Linked DNA regions of Oreochromis niloticus. The protein of the gene in region 1 purifies or fractionates together with the protein of each later gene. This does not show direct contact. Links are inferred from orthologs where the notes say so. Each region holds a gene or a part of one and is shown on either strand. Other genes may lie near its edges. The genes, in order: slc7a14a and golm1.

Region 1 (8,395 bases):
AAGAGAACCATTTAGCATTTACTTCTCCTACTTCTAAACTTAATTAATGTAAGTTTACAATATCATGAAGCTCAATTTTATCATATAGCTTATACCAATAACCTATTCTTGGTTTGGCCTGCTGTTTTCTGTCAAAGATCTCATGTAATGTTTATTCAACATCAGATTAGGAAGGTAGATTTTTATCATATTATCAGCTTTGTTGTGTTTCATTGTAGAATGAAAGACTAGATCTATCTCTATGTATTGAAATTTAATGAGGCAAACCTGGCTGGCTGCAGACTGAAGAGGATAAGAAAGACTCCAAAAAAAGACAGGACTGCAGTGTCCTCAAAGCTTCTTCAAAGCCAAAGTGTTCAAAAATATATAAAAACACATCTGCTTAGTCCTTCCCTTCTTTTCAGCTCACCCACTCTGTCTGTGTTGCTCCCTTCATGGTGTATCCTCTCCTGTATATCCCTTATTCCTTCTGTTTTAGCTTTCTCTTAACTCATCACATTCCGTTCCGCTAATTTTCACTTCACTTTTTCACTCTTTAAGTTTTTTTTTTCTCGAATCCTCCCTCTTCTTAGCTCTCCTCCATCCAAAGGGAGTAAGAGGACTACTTCTCGAGAATTTGTTGAATAATACATGCCTGTTCGAGCACAGCAGAGCTGAGGAGGCTGACATGGATGGAAGAGAGACTATTGAGCTGGATATAGAGTTTTTATAACGTGTGAATATGGAGCATTTATTATGTTGAGATATGAGCAGACAGGTTCATTACAGGGCGGAATTATAAGATTTGATAAATCTTTTAGATTCTTCCTGGCAAAAGGGAAAATGTGTAAAAGCACACATTTATTTTTAGATGTTTTTAATGAGCGTACAGTCTTTCATAAACATGTTAACAGCCAGTTCAATGTGTTGATGGTTAATCCTCACTTCAAATATGTATAAGCAAAGATATTTACTCTTATCTGACATTTGAGGAAGCAGGATGTGTTTGTGGTCTGTCCATTCCTGCAGATTCAGATCTGTCAGACATAAAGGGTCACTCCTGCCCTGTAGCCCAGTGACCCCATCAGACAGTGTTGAATTATGGGTAGTGGCACTTAGGTCTCACAGCTGTCTCACCGCTTAGGGCACAGTGATAGTGAGTCATCCCTCTCTACCTCTCTTTCTTTTTCACAAACACACACACACACACACACACACACACACACACACACACACACACACACACACACAGCAGCTGGACTGCAGAGTCGCTGACATTTAAAAGTGAAGGAAAAAGCAATGAGTGGGAGCTGGAAAAAAACAGAGCTGCAGCCATGATGGGAACAAACACATCAGAGCACCAAAGACTAGAATAGTCATAGATGTGGCCTACTTGTGTTTAAAGCGAGCCCATTTTTTTTGGCCTGTACTTATTCTCTTTGCTACAGCATGGTTTTTTTTAATGTCAATTTTCAAAACATTTACAATAATTTTAGTCATTAAATCTACTTTAGAGATTAAAGCATCACACTGAATGAAAGCAAATGAAGCAATTACTCCTTAAAACAAAATTTAGGGTGTATTAAAACAACATTCCATTATTTACAGATAAACTCATTACACTAAAGATACTCTTGAATTTTAGTGTAGTCTGGAAATGCCTGTGGGAATAAATATGATTTCACCTGAGATATGAAGATCAGTAGTGAAGCTGAAACATCTGAGATGGCCTTTAGAGAAAGTTTGAAAGCTAGTTTGGATTGAAGAACTACTAAGAGCTGCTTCTCCACTGACCTAAGCAAGTGATAAAAACGCAATAGGTCTAACAGATAAGCCAAATTCAATCCATTCAAACATTCAAAAACAAGATTTTAGCTTTTAGGTGGATATGATTTGCACCCAGTCTCTTAGCCTAGAGCTTAGGTGGCACGTCTCTTGCAATCTATCTGCATTTTTATCTTGAAATGAAATAGGAATAACATTAGATATTTTAAACTAAAATCTAAACATGTGAGAAAACACTTACTTTCACTTATAAGCTAAAAAGATTGATGAAGGCTGATGAAACATGATGAATGTCTAGATTAGACTTCACTGCACAGAAGCTAAAATTATACAGGAAATGTCTTCAGCTGTAATCTTGTAGTCAAGTAGGTCAAATGAATCGACATAACAAACAACAGGAGGCACTGGTGCGTATAATTCTTTGAGATGGGGTTGTTGACATGAGTGAGTTAATTGCCTGCACAAAATATTTTTCTATTTTAATACCTATTCTCTAAACAGATCAAATCTTTCAAGATAATTTTTTTTTTCTTTCAGTTTTGGATCCTTCTTCTGTCACCCGATTTTACTTTAAATTTATGTCTTGGGGGTTTTATTTTATGTTTGAGTAGTATTTTACATCTTAGCCTAATCAGCTCTGATTCTTTTTCAGTCAAACTGTTATCTACCCTTTTGTTTTGCCTGGCTAACGGCGATGCTCTTTTTGGGGGATTTTTGTGTTTAGTTTTGACTGACCCTCCCATCAAGCACAATACAGACTCAACTTTCATTGGATCCTGTTCACATTTATGTTATGATAGAAACTCATAAGCTATGCAAAAACAAAACATTTTTAAAAATCAAAAAAATAAACTGAAATAAGGAAACTGACCTGCTGTCTGAAATCTAAACAAGGCATTTTTAATACAGCAGTGCAAATAACTAATGAAAAATAAACGACAGTAATGTTTAACAGTTTCTTTTAGTCTTGTCGTTTTGTTATTTGGACGTTTGGTGCAAACACCACTTTACACCACTACAGCTTTGCCTGTTATCTGTTTGCAAAATTGCTAAAAAGTTATAAGTTATCTGGATCTAGATCCAGGAATATTTGCAAGTATTCTTTACTGTTGGGAGATGTTGCAAGATACATTTCATGAATATGTTTATTTTATTTATTTATTTATTTCCTTTTTATTTTAAGAGCAGTTTTTCCAGCTGAGAACAATCTCCAGACTAAAATATTTCTTAAAATGATGAGATGTGTTTGCACACCTTTACATCTAGACTCCACAATTGTAATACACAGTATACTGGAGTCAGTAATCAGCACTTCTTTGTCTACAATTAGTCCAATGCGCCACAGCTAGATTACTGACTGGAACTGCAAAACAAAGAAAGATATCAAATTGCTCCAGTGTCGGCGCTGTTTGCATTACATAATCCAGAATGAAGTGATACTGTTTGTTTTTCAAGCCTTATATAGTCTTGAACATGTATTTGTTGTACCCATAGATTCCATAAACTAAGGTCTGCTTCCCACTCAGTATTGCCCACCTACCCTCGAAGCTCATTTCAAAACAGGGTTGTGCCTTTGCTGTTATTGCACCAAGACTCTGGAATAATCTCCCAACCTTATATGAGCATCAACTGTGGCTGCTTCTAAATTCAAGATAAAGTCTACCTTTTTTGTCAAGCTCTTGGAAGTGGCTCATTTCTGGAACTGTGGTTGGAGGACAGGTTGTTGCTGTATTATTTTATGCAAACTGTGCAATTATGTGTAGCATGAAGTTTAAGGAACCCTTTTATTTTTCATTTGTTATTCATTTTTATTGTAAAGCACTTTCAGATATAAATAAAAATTACTTAATGTCTTGGCAGCAACAGAGAATTTTGTTTGTTCGTTTTTCCTAAAAATCATCAAGTCAACGTATATGTTGGCATATCTGTAAAGAAATATCGCTGATAAACAAGTGTTAAGCTCTGTGTCGGCTTAATGGCTGCTGACATTGGTGAGTTGGAGAACAGGTTATTCACTGGCAATGTTGATGTTGCACAGGAAGTCAAATATACAGCCTTTGTCTCTCTTTCTCCTCAACATACTCAAATACACACAATGACATAAACAAGCTATCTATGGCAAACAACATAGCCATCTGTTGAATATTTGATCAGAGACCAGTGCAGGCTTAATAATTTAGCAACAGGCCTTTGCGTGACTCTCACTGCTAGTGAATGTTGGGTCCTCTTGGCACACTAGGAATCAATTCTGCCACTTGACTAGAAACTATTCAACAGCTGTCTAAATCTGATATCATTATATTTTACAGGCATGCCTGAATACCACCTGCTTTACATTGTGAAAGATGATTTGTTACTGCAGATCTGTTTGGTAGTTTCATGATATACTGATAATCGGCACGATAAAATTATAAAGTACTAAAACCAGCATGAAAATATTAAACCTATTTAAGCTCTCTTTACTAATTTTGGAACTAAAAAAAAAGGTAATTCCTGTAGTCTTAAAAGCAAATATTTCCTTAGTGAGTTGAAGTTATTTCTTGCATACTAAGAGTTGTAATATTATGTACTGTAGTAGATTAAAACCCCTTATCCTTTATACTTAAAAAATGTTATAGCTAAATTATTCTTCAGTTGTTAATCTGGGATGCTGGTTTTATACCCTCGTTTTATGTTACTGGCCTGGACAAAACTTTTCTAGTCTTTGAGCACATATGTTCAGCATAAATGAACAGTAATAACGAATGTTCTCCATTTCATTCGAATACGATACGAATGTTAATTTTAGGCATATTGTGGGCGTACTGTAGTGATAATCCTTGTGTCATGGCTGGATCAGTGTAAGTCACGGGAGGGGGGGTGGACTGCAACGGTGATGTCCGGTCAGCTTGGTGTCTTGGCCGGTCAGGAAATAAACCGGATGAATAATACACAGTGTCGACGGTCACATGTCGTGCAGCGGGCTCCTGAATGATTTAAAGCTTTTTACATCATCAGCCTCACCCTCCCTCCCGCTCTGTCTGCCGCTGATGCACCGCGCAGCCCGGAGATGCTGCTGCTGATGCTGGTGACCGACTGCAGCATCCGACATGGGTATCCTCTAATCCGGCCGTGCCACAGTGAGTGTTTTTCCTTCGCTTTTCTCCCCTCTGTTCTCCTTACCATCGTGTTATCTTAAACTTGATCACCTTCCACCCTCCTCCTTCGTTTATCACCTATCCACCCTTCCTCTTCCCCCACCCTTTTTTGTTGTCTTCCTTTGTGCAGTTTTTTCACGAGTGATGGCGCATTATAACGTGGCGAAAACCGTGCGTCTTTCCTATAGGGAGTGTGTTTATGATTTCGCGGAGTGGACGGAATGGTCGGTCAATGGTCCCGTCCTGTCACCTTAACGGTGAGCGTCTTTACCTAAGAGAGAGAAAAAAGGGGGAAGGCAGAGTTTAGGGCGGGTATCGCTTCTCCCAGCGGACTAGAGCTGCAGGAGGCTATGCTTGGAGGGTCGAGAGGAGGACAGGACAAGACAAAGTGGCGACTGGGACCCACATGAAAGAGGGTGGGTTCTTTAATTGAGAACATTTGCAGTTTTTAGTATGTATGCGGTTATTACCTATCTAGACTGTTGGCTCAGTGGGTGTGTCGGAGAAAGAGAAGATATGCCATAATTAGAGTTAGACTTGATCTTTATGATCAGGGCAGGGTAGGAAAAATAAAGCTTTATAGATTTTATCCATGAACACTGTATCGTATGTGGACATTCTAGTTTTGTTTTGGAACATCTATCTATCTGTCTATCTGTCTGTCTATTTGTCTATATATCTGTCTGTCCAGTAAAACAAACTATTATGTTACTTGATTCGTGTGTGTGTGTGAGGACAAGAGCACTAAAGCTTCAACCAGTTCAACTAGGCTAATCCCTAATGACATGGCCAGATCGCTCTCTCTCTTTCTCGTTCTTTCTCTCTCATTTGCCATAAGGCCTTGTCTCTTTTTTTCTGCTCTTAATTCTTTAAAAAACACACTTGTGGTGTCGTGCTGTCCATGGTGCTGAAAGCAGTCGTCTGCAGATGGCTTGCTAATACGCTGAAGCTTGATGGCCCTGTCATCGCTCAACAGGTGCCTTTTACTGCTACAGCTACACAGAAATAAGGGAAGTTAATTTCAGTTGTAACTCTGTCATTTAAAACGGGCGTTGTGATTGCATGCACTCTGAGGTTTTCTCTGAAATGGCATGCTCCTGACACAGAAGCAATTAATTTGCCAACATGGAATTATACAATTCAAAGGGCAGTGGGCATTGCAAAATTACTGCTTTTTAACACACATTATTTTACAGATTTTAAATGGCAGTTTGGGTTTGCGATACTGCTCTGAATTTCAGGACATATCAATAAGCAAAAAATCTTGGGATGATTATCATAGAATCAAGTAGTAAAAATGTATAAATATTAATATCTGATCAATATTAATACTTAATAATAAAGTATTAATAATAATTAATACTTTACTATTTCAAACAGAAAAATCTATGCAAGCTGGATAGGCAGTAAACGTTCAGAAGCTCCTAGCATTTAAGTCAAAAGCAGTCCATCCAAACCAGTGAATGGACATCCGAGAGCAAAATGAAAACCATGTTGATGCCAATGCTGATGATTGAGTTGCTGAAAACAACAATAAGAAGTAGAAGCAGAAGATTATATAACAGACCAATTTAGAAACTGCACTTTGTCTGTCTGCATATCCCTCACACACTCTGTCAAACAGCCTCCAGCATATCCAGGTCTCACATTGGAGGATGAAGTCACATGTAGAGACACACCATCAGAGGAGCTTGAGGGGCAGTCGTTCCTTGCTTAAGGGCACTTTAGCAGTAACAAAGGTTAAGAGTGGGGCATCTGCCCCCTCCCCTCCTTTTATATTTCCTTTGCACTGACTGAATGTTATCATGTTGAAGAGATGTTGTGAAATTGCAGCTGAATGAAGAGGATAAGGCACAGCTCATTTGTTGGTGACGTTTATTGAGCATTTCTGTCTTTAGCTGTCTTCACAAAATAACTCCAGACAGTGTTAGAAGAATCACAGGACACAGCAGGAGACTGTCTGCTTCAGATGTGTTCTCACTACTGGAAATAAAATGTTTAAGGTCGGGATGCACTTGCAGGAAGAAGGATATAAGATGGCCACTACTTGGCTCTGATTTCACTGGACTATTGTCTTCATCGATCTCATATTGGCACAATAAACTTGAAACAGATTTGTACTAGCGAGCTGACATGTCAAAGAGTGCTTGATTACTAATACGACTGCACTTTACATGTGCATTCTCATGCATACGTTGGATAATGTTTAGAGAAGTCGATATCTACGGTGCATGTGTGATAATGGCTTTTATTAGATAACAATAGTGGAGATGTGGCAAAGGAGGGGCGGAAAAATGGTTCTTTCAATGCAGTAAAGTAGTTTAATAAGTGTTTAAAATATTTTGTATATAATTATTTACTTATCTATTTATTTTGTCAGCCTTTAATGTATCTGCTTGTACTAATGCTGTTGTAATGAAAACACTTTATTGATGCCACGTCTTTAGGGTACCATTCATAAACTTATATGGGTTTTTTCACGTGTTACGAGTTCTTTGTGTTACAAATTTTAAACAATGCAATACATAAACTAACAATGCACTCTTAACCTAGATGATGCAACATTTGATAAAGCTGCCATTTTTGGGTGGTGTAGCTGGGTTGAGCAGACGACACATATATCTTAAGGCTACTGCAGAGGCTTGTGGGTTCATATGTGTGCCGAGGCTATTTATTGCATGTCTCCCCACTGCTCTCTCCCAAGATTCTTGCCCTGCATCGACAAAGGCTAACAAATTGTCATTTTTTTCTGAAGTATCGATTAAATAAAACTAGCAAATGCTGAAATGTGTGGAAGTGCAAGTAAAAAAGGGATAAGAAAATAAACAAACAGACTTATTAATCAAAAGCTTTCTGACTCTTGCCCCAGAGACTAGCTGGTCGTGTCAGATCTAGTAAGGCTTTAGCAATGAAACCCCTGAATCTGAATATTGCATTCACATAAATAATATATGTTTTATTTTCAATTTCAAAACCACACTGTCTTGCTCCTGTTCAAGGCTTTAGACGCAGGCAGGAACTATGTAACTGCAGAGGTTATGAAATGCTACTGGTCTCTCATTCATTTTTATTAGCAATAATGGGCGCTGACAGAAGAGTTGTGAGTGTGTGTGTGTGCGTGTGATAGATACAAGACACATACAAAAAAGGGAATTGATATTTATTTTTAAAATCTTTATTTGCCTTCAGCACAAAATATTTCTGGTATATTGCAAATAACTGCTTTTGAATAGAATATGAGCAGCACAGTGATGCACTGTTAAGCACACAACAATAGAGTTATGGGTTTGAATCCAGCAGCTAGCTGCGGCCTGTGTGGAGTCCCTGTGCTCTCACTTTCCTAGCCTGAGTATCCAGGTACTATGACTCTCAGTCAATTGGTCAGTCAATTCTTAACTGACCATAGGTGCAGCTGTGTGTGTCTTTCTCTCTTTGCTGCAGTAGACAGATGACAGGTACAGGTACACCTGAATTGGATAAGAGGTTAAGGAAAT
Region 2 (8,877 bases), on another chromosome or scaffold:
TTAGACCTAGGGCACCCCACCCACATGAGATACATATCCATACAGGCTTTACAGCTTGCCTGGTTGGGTTTCTTTGGAAGAAGCACCACCCCTGTGTTCCCACAGGAAGTTATTCTTAGGTTTCTATGAACATGACACAAGTAAAAAGAACTTATCATACAGGAATCTATGCAAAAGACTGAACAAGTATGGCTTGTTTGGAAGTGCTGCCAGAAGAAAGCCTCTTCTCTCTAAAAACATGGCAGCATGGCTTTGGTTTACAAATTATTATCCAAAGACCGCAAGAAAACACCTCATACAAGTTATCAAGCATGGTGGTGCAGGTGTAATGATGTGGGCCTCAGGACCTGGGTACCTGTTGACCACAAACTGCTCTGTACAAAAAGTATTCTGGAGTTAAATGTGAGGCCATCTGTCTGACGGCTAAAGCTTGGTTGTAGCTTGGTAATGCAATAGGATAATGATTCCAAGCTGCAGCAACAAATCTACAGCAGAATGGCTGAAAAAAAAAAAAGAAATCAAAGTTTTGTAAAATTACAGTCAAATTCAAGATCTCAATCTGATTAAAATTATGTGGCGAGAACCTAATACGCTGCACATGAACAACTGCCTGCTTTACATCTATATATATTTCTACATATATAAATATCTAGCAGATGGTAGATAACGGTCATTTCTTTGCTGCACATGATTATTACGAAGAACATTTTTAGAGTTTTTAACATGTCACCACCTTTCCCCCTTTGTTTTGAATTACACCAAACATGGATTTTTGATGGATTATCATGATTTATATTGTAAATAAAATGGTTTTTATATCGTGCTTTTCTACTCTACTTAAGCACTCATTATACAACTTGTGTCATTCACCCAATCTACAGGTACGTTTTTTCTGTGAATGCATATGTCGAACTTACTAACCTTCCAATTAGTAGGTGACCTCTATCTCTGGAGCTATAGCCACCCCTTGTAGAAAAAGTCAATCTGCTTACTAGTGTTGTGCATCTTTTCTTCTCTGTATTCACAGTTGTAACATTTACCAGAAGAAACGAAAAGGCCGACGAGCAGCAGACGGGCTTATTGCAGGAAGACTCCAGTGATGACGAGTCGCCCAACAGAAGGTATAATGTCATTCAGTACCAAGAATATAGTTGATTAGTGTTAAAATGAATCTGAATAATATTGTGTTTTAAAAGAATGCTAACAGTCCCTCTCTGTCGCACTGTGTTACTGTGTTTAATGCTGTAGATCCACAGGAGGAAGTTACCTCACTCTGTCACCTCCAGTGAAGGGCGTGTTTGACGACGTGTGATGCACGAAGGACCTGGAGGGAAATCAAAAAGCTAATATGTGCTGTAAATAGAATAAATGATTCAAATGGAACATTTTCTGCAAAGGGAAGTCTGAATGCAGATAATTCACTCTTAAGAAAAAAAACGTAAAGATGTAAAATATAACTTTAATAAAGGGTTTTATATCAACAGCATAAATACAGGTGGTATTTATAGCGATCGGTAACTAGAAGGACTTCTTAACACATGTGTGTAAATGCGTGCTTGATATTGTTATGTTGTATAATAAAATTGGTGGATAATAGACCTCATAGTATGTGCATAGATTTTATATTTATTTAATTTGAAATTCAATTCTTGTGCCTAAAGCAAAATGTCAAAGAGAATATATCAAAAACATAAACATGTTTAAAGTTGTTTTCAACTGTATCTGCTAAATAGCATCATTTTCATGTGGTGCAGTCTCCAGGCATCTATTTATACAATTTAGAACTGTTCGACTGTTATTGTATAATTAAAACATAATGTTTTTGCGTGTACTTTATCTGCTGTTGGATTTTGAGTGACCTAAAATATATAAAGACATATACATCGTGAGGATTCTCTCTTACTGGTACGCTCATCAGAGCATGCAGGTTAAATGGGGAAGTAGTATTTCTGCCCCCTTTGGTGTCAGCAATGGTGTCAGACAGGGTGGGATTTTGTCTCCAATTTTATTTAATCTATATGTTGATGATCTGTCCATGCAGCTGAGAGCCTGTAACACTGGGTGTATATTAGGTAAAACACTGATAAATCATCTTATGTATGCAGATGACCTGGTTGTTTTTAGTCCAAGCAGTGCTGGGTTGCAGGATCTTCTTAATGTCTGTACTGAATATGGTGTGCAATATGACATAGAGTACAATGCTGCTAAAAGTGCTGTTTTGATATGTAGAACCAAGCAGGATAAACAGCTAAATTTCCCTTTGTTTAAACTGGCCCAAAAAACTCTTGAAGTTCATAAAAAGGTGAAATACCTCGGTCACTTTATTACTGAGGAAATGAATGATGATGATGACATTTACAGACAACGATGTAAGCTCTATGTGCAGGCAAATACTATTGCACGCAAATTCAGCTTTTGTTCACTTCCAGTTAAAGTGGCTTTGTTTAAAGCGTATTGCACACCGCTATATACTGCCCCCTTGTGGTCATCCTACAAACAATGTAGCATGCAGAAGCTGCATGTTGCATATAATGATGCGATGAGAATCCTTTGCAGGATACCTAGAAGTGGTAGTGCCAGTCAGATGTTTGTAGCTGTGGGTGTTTGGACTTTTAAAGCACTTTTAAGAAAGTTAATGTACAATTTTAGAGAACGACTGGATGGTTCAAGTAACAGTATAATTTTAGCACTTACAGATCCGACACTGAGTGGTTCCCGTTACTCATCCAGTCTGAGAAAGCACTGGTTAAAGTGTTTGTGTATTTATTGATTTATTTTAAGTAATTGTGTTTTATGTATATTATGGTTTTATATTTTTACAAATTTTTTACAAATGTTTTATATTTTTACTAATGTTTTATATACTTATTTATCTATATATAGATATATATGTGTGTGTGTGTGTGTGTGTGTGTGTTTCTGTCTTGTTTTTTATGGACATGAAGTCTGCTAATAAAGATTGAATTGAAATAAAGCAGCATCCCAAGATGTCCTTTATAGCCCTTTTTTCAAATGTCACCATGTTTATTTTACCACATGGCCTGAGGGTTGTTGTTTTTTTTCTTTTAAATAGATAATTATTGCAAGAGAATTGTTTGCAAATATATGGAGAGAGGTTTATACTGTAATTCCATGAGTGTACAGAGTTTTGTTTTTTGTTTTCGTTTTTTTACATGTATTTTTTGCAGCCCTCTGCATGTCCTAATGACAGAATTTGTCCAATATATCCATTATCCCTTTCAAACAGATTGCCTCTCTAACTCTTTCTCCACACCACTCAACCTGATCTGTTCTTCTCATCTACTCTTTTCTCATCCTGGTCACTCCCAGTTCGAGGATCTTCAGCTCTGCCACGTCCAGCTTGGGCGGCTGACTTTTGCTAGTGCAATGCATACCTCCACCTCTCCAGGCATTCTTCCACCTGCTCTAACAATAGAGCACAATGTTGTCTGCAAACATAAGTCCTGCCCATCATCACTAAAAACAAGAAAGGGCTCAGAGCTGAATCTCTGAGTCAGGCCCACCCTTAGTTTGAGCCCATCTGTCACTTCTACCACATAACTTACCACTGTCTCGCTGTCTTCATACATGTCCTGCACCATGCTCATATACTTCTTTACCACTCCTGACTTCCTCGTGGAGTACCAAAATTCCTCTCTTGAAACCCTATCGTAAGTGCTGAGAGAGTGCAACTTCTTATGACGCTCTCTATACATCTCCATCAACACTCTTAAGGCAAACATAGCACATGAAGCACACTGGCTTCATGCTATGGCTTATTACCTTTATTCTTCTGTAGTTAATACAGCTCTTCACATTATCCTTGTTCTTGAAGTACCGTGCAGTTCTCTATTCTTCAGGCATCCTCTGAAATTGAATTAAACAATCAGGTTAAAGTCCATTGCCCTCTCTCTCTGACTTCTCCATACCTCCACAGGTATGTCATCTGGACCTTTCCTGTTTCCATTCTCTTGATAGATCCTCTCATTTCCTCATTATTTCTCTGCACTTCCTGATCCACTAACTTAACTTCATCTGTTCCCCATTTCATTTTTTCTTCATCAGCTTCTCAAAATACTTCTCAACACACCATCTTACATCTCTTGTTGAAATATATACGTTGACTCCATATTTATGTTATAATTAGCCATAATCATAAAGTTTGTCAACTTGAAAAATCAATTAATGCAATCTGAATAAGACAAATGTTGTTTAATTTTAAAATATTAAATGTATTTTTTCCAAAAAAAAAAGATTCAAAAGAAGTCAAAAGACAAACGGGATAAAGAAGTAATATTAGTTTATTTCTTTTTTCTTCATGAAAATTGTCATTAAGTTTCAAAACCATTAAACCATAAAAAAGAAAGACAATGCACAAGAAAAAACAAAATTATACTAAAATGTAACTCAAAATAGACAGAGAAAGGAGCACTCTTCCTTGCATGACCAAAAAAACAACACCAGTTCTATGAGGTTAGAACGATGCCACCTTAAAATGAAACTGGAAAAAAATATTGAAACTGAAAAAAACAGAAACATAAAAAATTGAAACTGAAAAATTTTACAGTTTCAATTAATCTTTTATCACTATCAATTTTTTCACTTTCAATACAAAATTTTTCAGTACATTTATTTCATTTACAATATTTTTTTTTTTCAGTTTCAATATTTTTTTCAGTTTTATTTTAAGGTGGCATCGTTCTAACCCCATACAGTTCCCACTTAAATGATAAAAGTCACACTTCAGATCAGGCCCAAGAAAGAAAGAAAGAAAGGCTGGGTAGAGAAATCCCTATCCTGCTTACATTAGTTTATCTATAAATAATATAATATTTTATTGTTTAGTTTTTAATTAATGTTTTACATGTATTAATATTTTTAATATACCTACATTTATTATTTAAATCTTATTTAACATGATATGACACGTTAATGTTACAGATGCAGAGGACCGGTTGACCGTTGCCGGTGATGCCTTTCTAGGCACTTCGTAAAAAACAAATTCTTAGATCTTAAAGTAGCCTAGACTACCAGTCTCTCAGTATTTATTACTTGACAGCAGTCAAAAGCAAACTGTTTCGAAGCTGATATTGCAAAATACTTTAGGGTTTAGGGGGATTTCGTTGTCTATTAATTTATTTATGTGAAACTAAATATGATTTGTTTTTACAGCAATCCGAGGAAGTACTTGAACGTCTCAGTCATAGGCAGCAGGCAGAGCACACAGACTGAGCTGTCTGTGTGGCAATGATGGATACAAGCTAATCGTCCGACGTTGACGGTCTACGAAAGCTGTTAGAATATAAAACGAGGTGTCACTCCATATATCGCCTCACGGATTTGGCTCTGATTTCTGACAGGCAGACATATCCGGTAAGTAGGTTCGGCTGCTAGTTTTAGCTAAGCGACCTAAAAACGGTAACAGCAACTGTGAAGGAGCAGCGCTGCTAACAATGTTAGCGTTAGCTTGCAGCGTAGAGTTCCTTCGCTTCTTCTTTCAGCACTGGCCCAAATAAGAAGAAAATGTGGCCATTTCTTTACACGTTTATGTAGCTTTGTCACATATTTAATAAATAATATACATAAAAAAAATTCGAAGTTAGTATTTCTGCTTTCTCTTGACCTGAATTTGCCTAATCGATTATACGAAGGACCCATTTTTCTCGAGTTGTTCCGTGTTATCGCCACCGTCACGATACGGGTGGCTCTGATTTATACTGCCAAACACAACACAGGTATACCCTGGCTCCAGGCCTGTGTTGTGATTTAGTAGTACACATCAGATTTTTCTAACGTGATATTAAATTGAAGGTTAGCTGGTTGTTCGTTTTGTTACTAATTGCGCTGTCACATGTTAAACAGTTCTTTGCGCCTTTGCAATCCTTTGGTCATTTGATTGACTAAGGAGAATCACGGAGAATCACGGAAAGCAGGAATCCGCATCGACAGTATGTATTACAAACTAGGCAATACGGCACTTCGTCGGTGATGTGTAGTGCTGCTCTTTAGTATGTAGTTGTTGCATTTTAGCTCCCGTTGGTCCTTGGGAATGTCCTTCTAGCTTGTTTGTTTTTTCCCTTCCCCATTAAAAACATTTTAACTGAGTCACCACTTTTGAGCACATCTTTTTGCTGTCTGTGGTGCTGGGTATGTTTCAGTGTGACACCGTACAGGTGTGTAATATTTGTAAACATAACACCAAAGCTGTGTATGTGTTGTTTCCAACAGAATCACTCAACATACTGTTGTCTGTATGTATGTGCAAATAACATTTCCTGTGTAAGCTTTTTGTGTTTTTGCTGACACAAAAGCTGCAACAACCGACAGCGAGCTTTTTTTTTTTACATGTCTGCAACCAACTTGCAAAACCACCACCTTTTTGCCAGAAATGCACAGAAAATATGTGTTTAAAAGATGCAGTTAGAAAATAAAGTGTGGAGAAGTGTGCTAACCGTGGGCTACTTTGTGTGTTTTCAGTTGGTAGACAGCAATGGGTGGGCTGGGGAACGGGCGTCGTGGAGGAAGGTCACCGCCTCTTATGATTGCCGCTCTGATCGCCTGTATCTTGGTTCTGGGCTTTAACTACTGGGTGTCCAGCTCCCGCAACCTGGAGCTTCAGGTGGGTTAAAAAGTATTCAAACTCTTCCTCATTTCTTATTTCTTTTGCATAATTATCATGCTTACAGGTTTAAAAAAATTTTTTGTTTTTACGTCTTTCTCTAATAGTACTTACTTTGATGTTGCGTTACATGTGTTTTATTTTACCAATATAAATGTGCCAAGAACTGTTCTCGCTTACTGACTTAAAAGAAAATATAAATACTGTCATAATTTGGAGACCTGTGTGACCTTGTAATGATTGCACCAATTCTAACTTTATTCTTTTTTTCTTTCACAATCACCATTCACACATAACTTTGAAAAGGAGTGTCTCCTTTCTTGTAAAATACCTAGAAGTTAGGCAAGGTTTATACTACCTTGCCCTAACTGAAGCAAGTGAGACCTGCAGTTCTTTAGATGTTGTTCTGGGTTCCTTTATGACCTCCTGGATGAACTTTAAGGCGCTCTTGGTGTAATGTTGGTAGGCTGGCCACTCCTGGGAAGGTTCACCACTGTTCCAGGTTTTCTTCAATTGTGAAAAATGGCTCTCACAGTGTTTCACTTAGACGTGGCTTTGTAACACTTTTCAGACTGATAGATGTAAGTGACTCAACTCCATTGAGAGTTTTTGAGTTTTCTTTAGATTGCGACATGATGTGTTGCTGCTTGAGATATTTTAGCCTACTTCCCTTTGTCAGATAGGTTTTATTTTTTTCAGTCCAGTTTTTATTGTTGTTTAATATATTGCATTAAATGGCAAGAAATTCAGAAATTTCTGTCAAATAAGGTTAGAAAGACTCCTGTTTTAGCTTATTAGACACAGAAAATAAGGTAACACATGCATGTGTAACTATATATATCTGTATGCATAGTTAACCCTTAAAGACTCATTCTGAACCAGGAAGTTTCTGTCATTTTGTTCTCTTCATATGGATGTTATCATGACCCATGACAAATTCTAAATAAGTGGCCTATATAAAAAGCAGTAACGTGATACTGATCTTGCTGCATGTGACACAGACTAAACTGTATGAGCTGGAGGGCCAGGTGCGACGTGGAGCAGCAGAGCGAGGAGCAGACGAGATGAAGAAGAAGGAGTTCGAGCAGGAGATCCAGAAACAAAAGGATCAGATCAGCAACATACAAAGTCTCTATAAGAGACAGTTGGAGGGAGCTGAGAACACCTGCAGCCAACACAAGGTGCATACAAACAAAACTGGTGACAAAAAACCTTTATGTGCACAAACGCTACCTCAGAGGTGCTGTCTATCAGCTCTTGTCACAAGGGAATCTATGGGCAATAAACACACTTTTCTGACTTACTCACTGTTGCGGTTCACACCAAATAAACAACTTATCAGGGAAAATTTTCATATGAACTATAAATAAGTGTGATAAGTGAGTATTGACATGCGTTGTGTGTTTGTGTTTAGGCCACACTGCAGCAGAACATTTCCTCCAGTGCAAAAACCATACAGGAGCTCAAAGGTAACGTAATGTTTAGCTTGTTGTAAGTGTTGCTTTGACTTAGCAACCATCACATGGCCGCTGAAAAACTGTGCACTTAATTTCATGTATGTGTTTGTGTGTACTGTAGGTCAGCTGAATCGGCTGAATGATGCTCTGGGGAAACTTGAGAAAGATCTGCAGAGTTGCCAAGGCAACATCAACACCCTTAATAACAAACTTATGTATGACATGTAAGAAAATGATTCATTATTATTATTTATTATTATTATTATCATTATTTTGTGCAGAGTTATATTTGTCGTTTGTAAAGAAAGTATGATCACTGTACATGCCACTATAATATGCTACTGTTTACCGTCTGTTTGTTGTGCATATAGGACCCAGTGTAACGCCCAGGTGCTGTCCCAGAAAGAGCTGTGCGATGAGAGAGTGGCTGCCGCTAAACTTGAAGCTGACAAGAAAATGCAGAAGCTCATCCATACACCTGTCTCCTCACAGGTGGGTTTGGCTTTCCTGTTTAGCAGTGAAGCATGTGAAAGGATGCAAAGTCATTAGTCTTTCCATATGATTGAGACTTGGGCCGAGGGGTGGAGCTGATTTTTTTTTTTTTTTTTTTTTTTGTCACCAACCCCGTTTATGTTAATCAGGACAAAGCAAAATCTTAATGTCTGAAAACATTTTCCTACTATACATGATTATCGTCACTACTGTTTTTACATGCAAATGGGGAAATTGACTTCCTTTTGCTCGTGTTTGTTTGCGGATCCAGGCAAAAAAAAAAAAAAAAAAAAAAACCCTTATATTTCT

What was found.
Region 2: the proteins of slc7a14a (region 1) and golm1 purify together in Homo sapiens (co-immunoprecipitation; 3 studies listed by BioGRID and IntAct, with this or other methods). This does not show direct contact. The link is inferred for Oreochromis niloticus from reciprocal best matches to the Homo sapiens genes SLC7A14 and GOLM1.

Annotation. Positions count from the first base shown.
Region 1 is NC_031983.2:19,686,674-19,695,068, reverse strand, and holds the start of slc7a14a (putative cationic amino acid transporter), read left to right. Parts: upstream 1-4,617; 5' UTR 4,618-4,883; intron 4,884-5,031; 5' UTR 5,032-5,158; intron 5,159-5,180; exon of another isoform or gene 5,181-5,317; intron 5,318-8,395. UniProt on the Homo sapiens protein: Imports 4-aminobutanoate (GABA) into lysosomes. May act as a GABA sensor that regulates mTORC2-dependent INS signaling and gluconeogenesis. The transport mechanism and substrate selectivity remain to be elucidated.
Region 2 is NC_031977.2:20,710,814-20,719,690, forward strand, and holds the start of golm1 (Golgi membrane protein 1), read left to right. Parts: upstream 1-5,189; 5' UTR 5,190-5,373; intron 5,374-6,477; 5' UTR 6,478-6,490; coding exon 6,491-6,619; intron 6,620-7,620; coding exon 7,621-7,800; intron 7,801-8,033; coding exon 8,034-8,088; intron 8,089-8,197; coding exon 8,198-8,300; intron 8,301-8,447; coding exon 8,448-8,568; intron 8,569-8,877. Other genes in the region: LMBR1 domain-containing protein 2-B, read left to right, coding at 1,028-1,121, 1,249-1,312.